Linked DNA regions of Ovis aries. Each later gene encodes a partner of the first gene's protein in a complex. Links are inferred from orthologs where the notes say so. Each region holds a gene or a part of one and is shown on either strand. Other genes may lie near its edges. The genes, in order: POLR3B and POLR3GL.

Evidence for each region.
Region 2: POLR3B (region 1) and POLR3GL share a complex: the UniProt entries of both Homo sapiens proteins name them as parts of the RNA polymerase III (Pol III) complex. The link is inferred for Ovis aries from reciprocal best matches to the Homo sapiens genes POLR3B and POLR3GL.

What each region holds. Positions count from the first base shown.
Region 1 is NC_056056.1:175,318,906-175,323,210, forward strand, and holds the start of POLR3B (DNA-directed RNA polymerase III subunit RPC2), read left to right. Parts: upstream 1-1,390; 5' UTR 1,391-1,489; coding exon 1,490-1,561; exon of another isoform or gene 1,562-1,636; intron 1,637-4,305. UniProt on the Homo sapiens protein: Catalytic core component of RNA polymerase III (Pol III), a DNA-dependent RNA polymerase which synthesizes small non-coding RNAs using the four ribonucleoside triphosphates as substrates.
Region 2 is NC_056054.1:99,305,413-99,308,915, forward strand, and holds the end of POLR3GL (DNA-directed RNA polymerase III subunit RPC7-like), read left to right. Parts: intron 1-1,799; coding exon 1,800-1,967; 3' UTR 1,968-2,830; downstream 2,831-3,503. UniProt on the Homo sapiens protein: DNA-dependent RNA polymerase catalyzes the transcription of DNA into RNA using the four ribonucleoside triphosphates as substrates. Specific peripheric component of RNA polymerase III which synthesizes small RNAs, such as 5S rRNA and tRNAs.

The DNA.
Region 1 (4,305 bases):
CTGCTGCTAAGTCACTTCAGTTGTGTCCGACTCTGTGCGACCCTATAGATGGCAGCCCATCAGGCTCCCCCTTCCCTGGGATTCTCCAGGCAAGAACACTGGAGTGGGTTGCCATTTCCTTCTCCAATGCATGAAAGTGAAAAGTGAAAGTGAAGTCGCTAAGTCCTGTCTGACTCTTAGCGACCCCATGGACTGCAGCCTACCAGGCTCCTCCATCCATGGGATTTTCCAGGCAAGAGTACTGGAGTGTGGTGCCATTGCCTTCTCTCTAGGTAAAGTTAATTCCTCCTCATTTTGTGGTCGTTTTAATGGCTGTATAGTAGTCCACCACACACGTACCTTAAGTTTTTAAACCAATCCCCTCCTACCACGTATTTGGTATATTTCCTACTTTTCCATAGTATACGTGTAGTTTGGGACTAAATTAAATGATTCCTATGCTTCTGTGGCTCAAGTCGTGCAAATTCTCCTTTTACCCTTTTCTGTGAAATATTTTTAAAACAATATGCTTTTTGGCCTCAATTATGGGATAACTGCGGAGAAGGCAATGGCACCCCACTCCAGTACTCTTGCCTGGAAAATCCCATGGACGGAGGAGCCTGGTGGGCTGCAGTCCATGGGGTCGCTGAGAGTTGGACACGACTCAGTGACTTCACTTTCCTTTTTCACTTTCATGCACTGGAGAAGGAAATGGCAACCCACTCCAATGTTCCTGCCTGGAGAATCCCAGGGACGGCGGAGCCTGGTGAGCTGCCCTCTCTGGGGTCGCACAGAGTCGGACACGACTGAAGCGACTTAGCAGCAGCAGCATGGGATAACTGGGGCTCTCCAGGAAGTGAAGTGTAAAAAAAAAAAAAAAAAAATTCGCCTGTCAATGCAAGAGAAGCAAGGGACACAGGTTCCACCTCTGGGTCGGGAAGATCCCCTGGGGGAGGGAAATGGCAACCTACTCTAGTATTTTGGGGGCTTCCCTGGTGGCTCAAACTGTAAAGAATCTGCCTGTAACGCAGGAGACCGGGGTTCCATTCCTGAGTCGGGAAGATCCTCTGGATTCCATGGACAGAAGAGCCTTGCGGGCTACGGTCCATAGGGTCACAAAGAGTCGACACGACTGAGCAACTAACAGTTTCTAGTATTCTTGCTAGGATAATCCCATAGCAAAGGAGTCTGGCGGGCTACAGTCCACGGGGTCCTAAAGAGTCGGACTGACTGAGATCGCAGGAACCGACAACCCTGCCTGGCTTTCAGATTACCCACGCGAGACTTCCGAAGGACACCAGAGGGCGCAGTTTCCTGGCGCCACCTCAGCCACATCCGGGTTCAACCGCAGGTTCCGACCGACAGCAGGCGGAACCTTTCTTCCTCCTTTAAGTTGTGCGGCGAACCCTTTAAGCCACCACGCACTGCTCTCCACAGGTACAGTGGATATCTTGACGCAGGGGAGGCACACGTGAGTATTCTGCTTACTGTCTGGTTCCTTGTGAGTAGCATGGACCTGCTTGCCGAAGAGTTTGGGAACCTGACCCCGGAGCAGCTGGCTGCGCCGATCCCAACTGTAGAGGTGAGTGCAGGGCAGATGGTGAGCGGAAGAGGCCGTGATGCGTCCCCGAGAGGCGTTGCCCCGAGAGTCCTGCTGTGGAGGGGGGCGGGCCGCGTCTTTTGCGCATGCTCAGGACTCAGCGCTGGCTCGGGGCTCGGCGAGTTCACTCCCTAGCGGACCGCTGGACCCACGTGCAATGGTTGAGCTGGGGGAGCTGGCAGGCGCCACGCTGGCCTAGCAGCCCCGCCCACGGCTCCGGCGTTGCACCCATTCTAGTGTGCGTGTGTTGTCAGGGGAGGACTGACTCTCACCCACCTTGGGGGACGTATTGCTTGCTTTCTTATAAAGGATGCTGAGGTCCAGGGAGCTTAGCGCTGGCTGTGGTGGTAAAACCAAATCGTCTGAATCCCAGGCTAGTAATTTCTCCTTTTCGCCGGGAACTCAAGTTGGGATTGCAAGAGTATTTTAAGTGCCCAGAAAATTTACTCCAAATTTTAAGTGTTTTCTCGGGGAGTACCCTGTAGCTTTCATCAGCTTCTCAGAAGTTAAGGATAACTATCCTACTCTGCGGAGAAGGCAGTGGCACTCCGTTCCAGTACTCCTGCCTGGAAAATCCCATGGATGGAGGAGCCTGGTAGGCTGCAGTCCATGGGGTCGCTAAGAGTCGGACATGACTGAGCGACTTCACTTTGACTTTTCACTTTCATGCATTGGAGAAGGAAATGGCAACCCACTCCAGTGTTCTTGCCTGGAGAATCTCAGGAACGGGGGAGCCTGATGGGCTGCCGTCTGTGGGGTCGCACAGAGTCGGACACGACTGAAGGGACTTAGCAGCATCCTACTCTGAGCTGCCTGATGAAGTTCAGCTGTTGATATAATTTTATTTTGTGGAAAGACATATAACTTCTCTGGGGCTCAAAATTTTAGTTTGCATCGGTTGGGGCCATAGAGAAATAGTCAAGGGAGAGATTGACGTAGCGGGAACAAGACACTTGAAACCTGGAGGCAAGGCCATCTGATATTTTTGAGAAATAAAAATAAATCCAGTAGTATTGGAGTGTGGAAAAGTAGAGGAGAGATTAAAGGTGACAGATAAGGGTCCTGGTTATGAAAGGTTTTGTTAGACATTTGTAGGAGGCCTGGGATGCTGTTGACAGGTTTAAGCAGGATGACTGACAAGATCAATGAATCAATTTCTTTATAATCATTCTGCAGATTACATTCTGACGAATTACAGTCAGTGTTAGATTCTGTGAGTGCCTTTGTACATGGTGATTTTCTTTAGGCAATACTGGATTTTTAAGTTTTTTTGTTTGTTTATTTTATATTGGAGTATAGTTGGTTTGAATTTTTAACTCTTGAACTGCTATTTAAGAGCCAGCATTTACTGAGCACTTATTATGTGCCAGCTGTGTTCAAACCTAGTGAGCATTATGTTATTTAATCCTCCGAAGCAAGTAATATTTTTGCCCCATTTTGCCAATGAAAATTTTAAAGACCCAGAGATGTTAAGTAAGTAACCCAGTGTCAGAAGGCCATTAAGTGACTGTTGGGGATTTTGGATTTCAGCAGTCAGACTCCAGAGCTCCTGACCTTAGCTGCTGACTGAACTGCTTTTCCAGAGAGCTGCAGGATTTCTGTTTCTTCTCTGAATCTGCACAGCAATGAAGGGACCAGAAACGTATTTTCAGTCTTCTGATTTAGAAATAAAAGTTCCTCTTTCTGACCCTCTGCATCCAGTCCACCATCCCATCTTAAGGGCCCCGACTACAAAATGTACTCAGTTCTGGCATTCCCCCTGTTCTCCAAGCCAGCCACTGTCATCTGTTACTTCCTTGGCTTCTTACTCGTCCCATTATTCTCTACTCTGTCACCAGGGCCATCAGTTTAAACATGCAGATATATTCATATTGCTCCATTGGTTAAAATTCTTCAGTCTGCCCATTGCTCTCAGGGCAAAAAAAAAAAAATCTAATCTTTACCATATTGGTAAGGCTTTTCTCAATCTGGCTACCACTTACTTCTCTAGCTTGTTTCTTCCCACCTGCCCCCTCTCCACTCCAGCTCCTCAAGCTCTTTCTACTCTCCTCATGTAGTCCATTTTGGTCTGTCTTTCATTGTTTGTAGATTTACATCCAGTAAAATGCAGAAGTACTTAGTTAGTGTTCATTTACATTAGTTTTTACAGTTATGTATACCCAAGTAACTACCACCCCATACAGGATATGGAACATTTTCATCGTTGCAGAAAGTGCCCTTTTCAGTTTAAGCCCTACACCACCATTTGATTTCTGTCATCATAGATTAGTTTTGCTAGAGTCATTTCTTGTGTGTGTGTGTGTGTGTGTGTGTGTGTGTGTGTGTGTGTGTTGATGTTTGGTAGAAACCAGTAAAATTCTGTAAAAGCAGTTATCCTTCAATTAAAAAAATTTTTGTTTTCTTTAAAGATGACTTTTTTAAAGAGCAGTTTTAGGTTCAGAGCAAAATTGAGAGGAAGGTATAGAGATTTTCTATTTACCCCTGCCCCCACTTATCATTTCTTAAAAAATGTTTTTCCGTTTTCCAGATTGTCTGCCTCCCTCTCTGGCCACTCCTCGATCTCTCTTGCTCAGTGTGCTTTCTGCTGCTCCAAGTGTTGGAGTGTTTTTGATCTCAGCTTCATGGAGCTCCTCTCCACCTACACTCCGTAGATGGTCTTATCTGTTTCATGACTTCCACTCCTGTCCGTCTGCTGACTTCCCCTGACTTAGATCTCCAGGCCACTC
Region 2 (3,503 bases), on another chromosome or scaffold:
AAATAAGAAGGCTAGTCTTGAACTTTTTCTAGGCTATAGACTCACCTATTCCAGGACCGCAGCCCTGGATCTGTAGCTATCTCTGAGAGGGAGTTTTTCAGCTTAGGAAATGGAGATGGATGTAGGGACAGAACAGAAACTGAGACAAAAGTTGCTTTGTTTTTTTTTCCACTCCAGAACTACTGAGTTCAGGATGCTTGAGACAAGGGCTGGGCTACTGGAGGGTCAGCAAAACATTTTCCTTATCCATCTTATGCATTCTGTCACCTAGAGATAGTCCATGGAAGGAATTCTAGGAAAAGGTCTATATAGTAGTGAAAAAACTGGGCAAAAGTCACTTCTTCAGCCCACTTCATAACCTTTAGCTCTTGTGTGATTTTTTTATTGACCAGGTGCTTGGTCAGATCTCCATACTTTTCCCTCCCAAATTATATCTTTGTTTTTTTCCAGTGTGTTCAGAGTTATCAAGATGGTCCAGGATCCTGATTGTAGAAGTATCAGTTCTTTTCTTATTAATTTTACTTTCTCTATTTTCTCTCTTTAGTTTTCTGTCTTCTTTTAAATCTTCCAATACCAGATTAGACCTAATGAATAAATGATACTAAGAACTGGATCTCCTTTAATGGGTGTATATGTAGGTTATAGTTCCTTAAAAATTAATAGACATAAGAGAAGAGTATGGGAAAGGAAGACCCAAAATATCCACCCACTTAAATGGAGAAACAGCTGGGCTAGGACCCAAGGAAGACTACTTAAGTGAGCCCATATGCAGATGTCCTGAGGTGAAGTAGGAGTTGTGTATCAAAGTCAAAAGGAAGTCCAGTAGAGACTTTTGTGCTTTAAGGGAGGGATGTATTTCCTCTGGGTGAAGAGCTATAGCTGGTTCCTTCCTTCCTCAGATTTTTCTGTGCCAGTTACTAGTCACATAGAGCTAACTAAATTTAAAACAAACAAAAATAAAAATTCAGTTTGTCAGTAAAAGCAGCCACACATTTCAGAGCACTTGTCACGTGTGAATAGTGCCTATTGTATTAGTGCAAATGTACCACCTTTCCATCATTACAGAAGTTCTGTTGGACTGTGCTGGATTTGAGCTATTATGCTATCAGGAGAGGGTGCATATGTTCTGGCCCTTCAAGGCTCAAGTCTCTATCAGACCTTGGCTGTAAGTTATCTACCCTCTCCATCCCCTTGTATCACACTCCAGTAGCCAGGCTGTGTACACAACCAGAGTTGTGTGCTCCATGGTCTCCCCTTCTCTTTGTCCTGCCCTCTGGCCAGCTCTTGTCCTTGCCCCACCCCTCCAGTCCCTGGAAAACAAGCTCCAGAAAAATTTTCCATCAACTTTGACCTGGTTTCAAATCTGGCCACAGATTTGAAAGAGGGAGGAGGCTCTAAATTCGTGAACAGGTAAGAAATGGAGGAGGCAAAGGTGAGAGTGAAGGTGACAGTCACCATGGCAACAGAGCTAGAACCTGATGCCTTGATAAAGAAAAAACAGGAGGCGCAAAACAACTACTGAGAATGAAAGCTAGACACAAAGACAACTGCAAAAGAATCTTTTCAATCTCACTTTCTGTTCAATTTACATTGATTTTATGAACGCTGTTGGCTCAGACGGTAAAGAATCTGCCTGCAATGCAGAGCCCAGGTTCAATCCCTGGGTCCGGAAGGGCTACCCACTCCAATATTCTTGCCTGGAGAATTCGAGAGAGAGGACCCTGGTGGGCTACAACCCATGGGGTCATAAAGAGTCAGACACAACTGAACTAACACTTTCATTTTTAATGAACTTTTAGGAGTCTGAAGTTGGGAATTACTACGTGGAGATCCACAGAAAAGCCAACACCCCTCTCCCAATAAAGGCTAAGACTAAATTTGTCTGCAGAAGTTTAAATGAAACAGAAATCAGAAAGTATGTTAACTTCTGCCATCTCAGGGTTTATCAATGTAAGTCACTCCTTTAGGAATAATAATCATTTCAATTAGAGGTGGAGTTGTGGTATCAATCTGTTGTTATTACTCTACAAAGAAGTAACAGGAACTGTAAACCATACCCTAACGAGGAAGGTGGATTTGAATGTTCAGCAAACATTTACTGAGTTATGATCATGTGCCTGAATAGGAATTGTTCTAGGAGCTGCAGAGATTTAAAAAAAAATGGTAGCTGTCTTCAAAAAAGTTGATATTCATTAACTGTAAAAATCCTTTAGTCCTGTTTTGTCTTCCTACATATAAACCACATTTTTACTGGCAAGAAACTATGATGAAACCAAAATAAGAAATAAAAGTACCATAACACTTTCCTCCCAAATGCCCTTACAAAATTCATTTCTCTGTATTTTAGGAGCTCATTAAACAAATAAACAAACAAAAAAAGCCTTATATACTCCAAAGCTGAAGAAATTTAGTAATGATTAACTAAAGATGTAGAAAACCAGATCAGACCACCAGAAGACCCCACTATTCACTGAAGTTCTTCAGTGAATCGGACAAAAGACAATGTAGCTCAAATTCCTTCCCTCCTCACCCCCATTCTGACCATAGTCCTTAGGATCAATAAGAAATGGTTTCTCTATAGGGTTTTCAACAATCTGAGTTGTGAAGTAAGGGGGAAAGCTCCTTTAGGCACATTTTCTTTCTAATAACTTCAATATTATCTTACAGACAAGAAGAGAAACATTTTTTTGCCATTAAAAAACTTTTTATTTTCTTTTTTTTTTTTTTTACAAAGAATACCCCCACCTGGGGTGAAAAATATATCTGGTTAAGTACAAAATATAGTTTTTCTCATACAAAAAGATATACAATTAAAAAACAAAAAATGAAACCACCTTCAGCCCACATACTTTTTCAGAAAAGGGTAGATAGAGCTCAGAGCTCTGACACAGGACAGTGAACAAAGTGCTAAGGCGGAGAGTGACTGACCAAGTGCTAGAGGCTGCAGTGAGACAGGGGCTGTCAACAACCCTGTCTCCTAACACTGGGCAGGAAGTGAGCCCTTGGGGCTTCTGTGAAGATCTGCCTTCTGGTTTCTCATGGCAACATCTGGATGCTCTCATCACAGTGCTGGGGCATTTTATCTAGGGTTCCTCCTTGGGTTTGGAGAAGTCACAGTGGGCAAGGCTGATAGCAGCAACCCTTCTCATGTGATCAGTGTCAGAAATGCAGAATTCTGTACACTGGGACAAAGTCTCAAAAGCAGGAACACTTTTTTTTTTCCCTGTCATTGTGCTTACCCCTAGAGACATAGTAGACCAGTTTTAGCTTACATCTGAGAAAGGAAAAAACCCCAAATTTGACACAAACTAAAGTGCTAAGGACATTGCCTCAGAATCAATTCCAAGGAGTCACACGAGAAAAGAAAAAAACATTCTCCCACATAAAAATGTTTGCCAACAGGAGAACACAGTGCAACAAGCTCTAAAAATGGCTTTTAAGACCTCTGGTGGGGCACAGTTACTACTGCTTTATGACTGATTAAAACTACTTTCTAAACAATG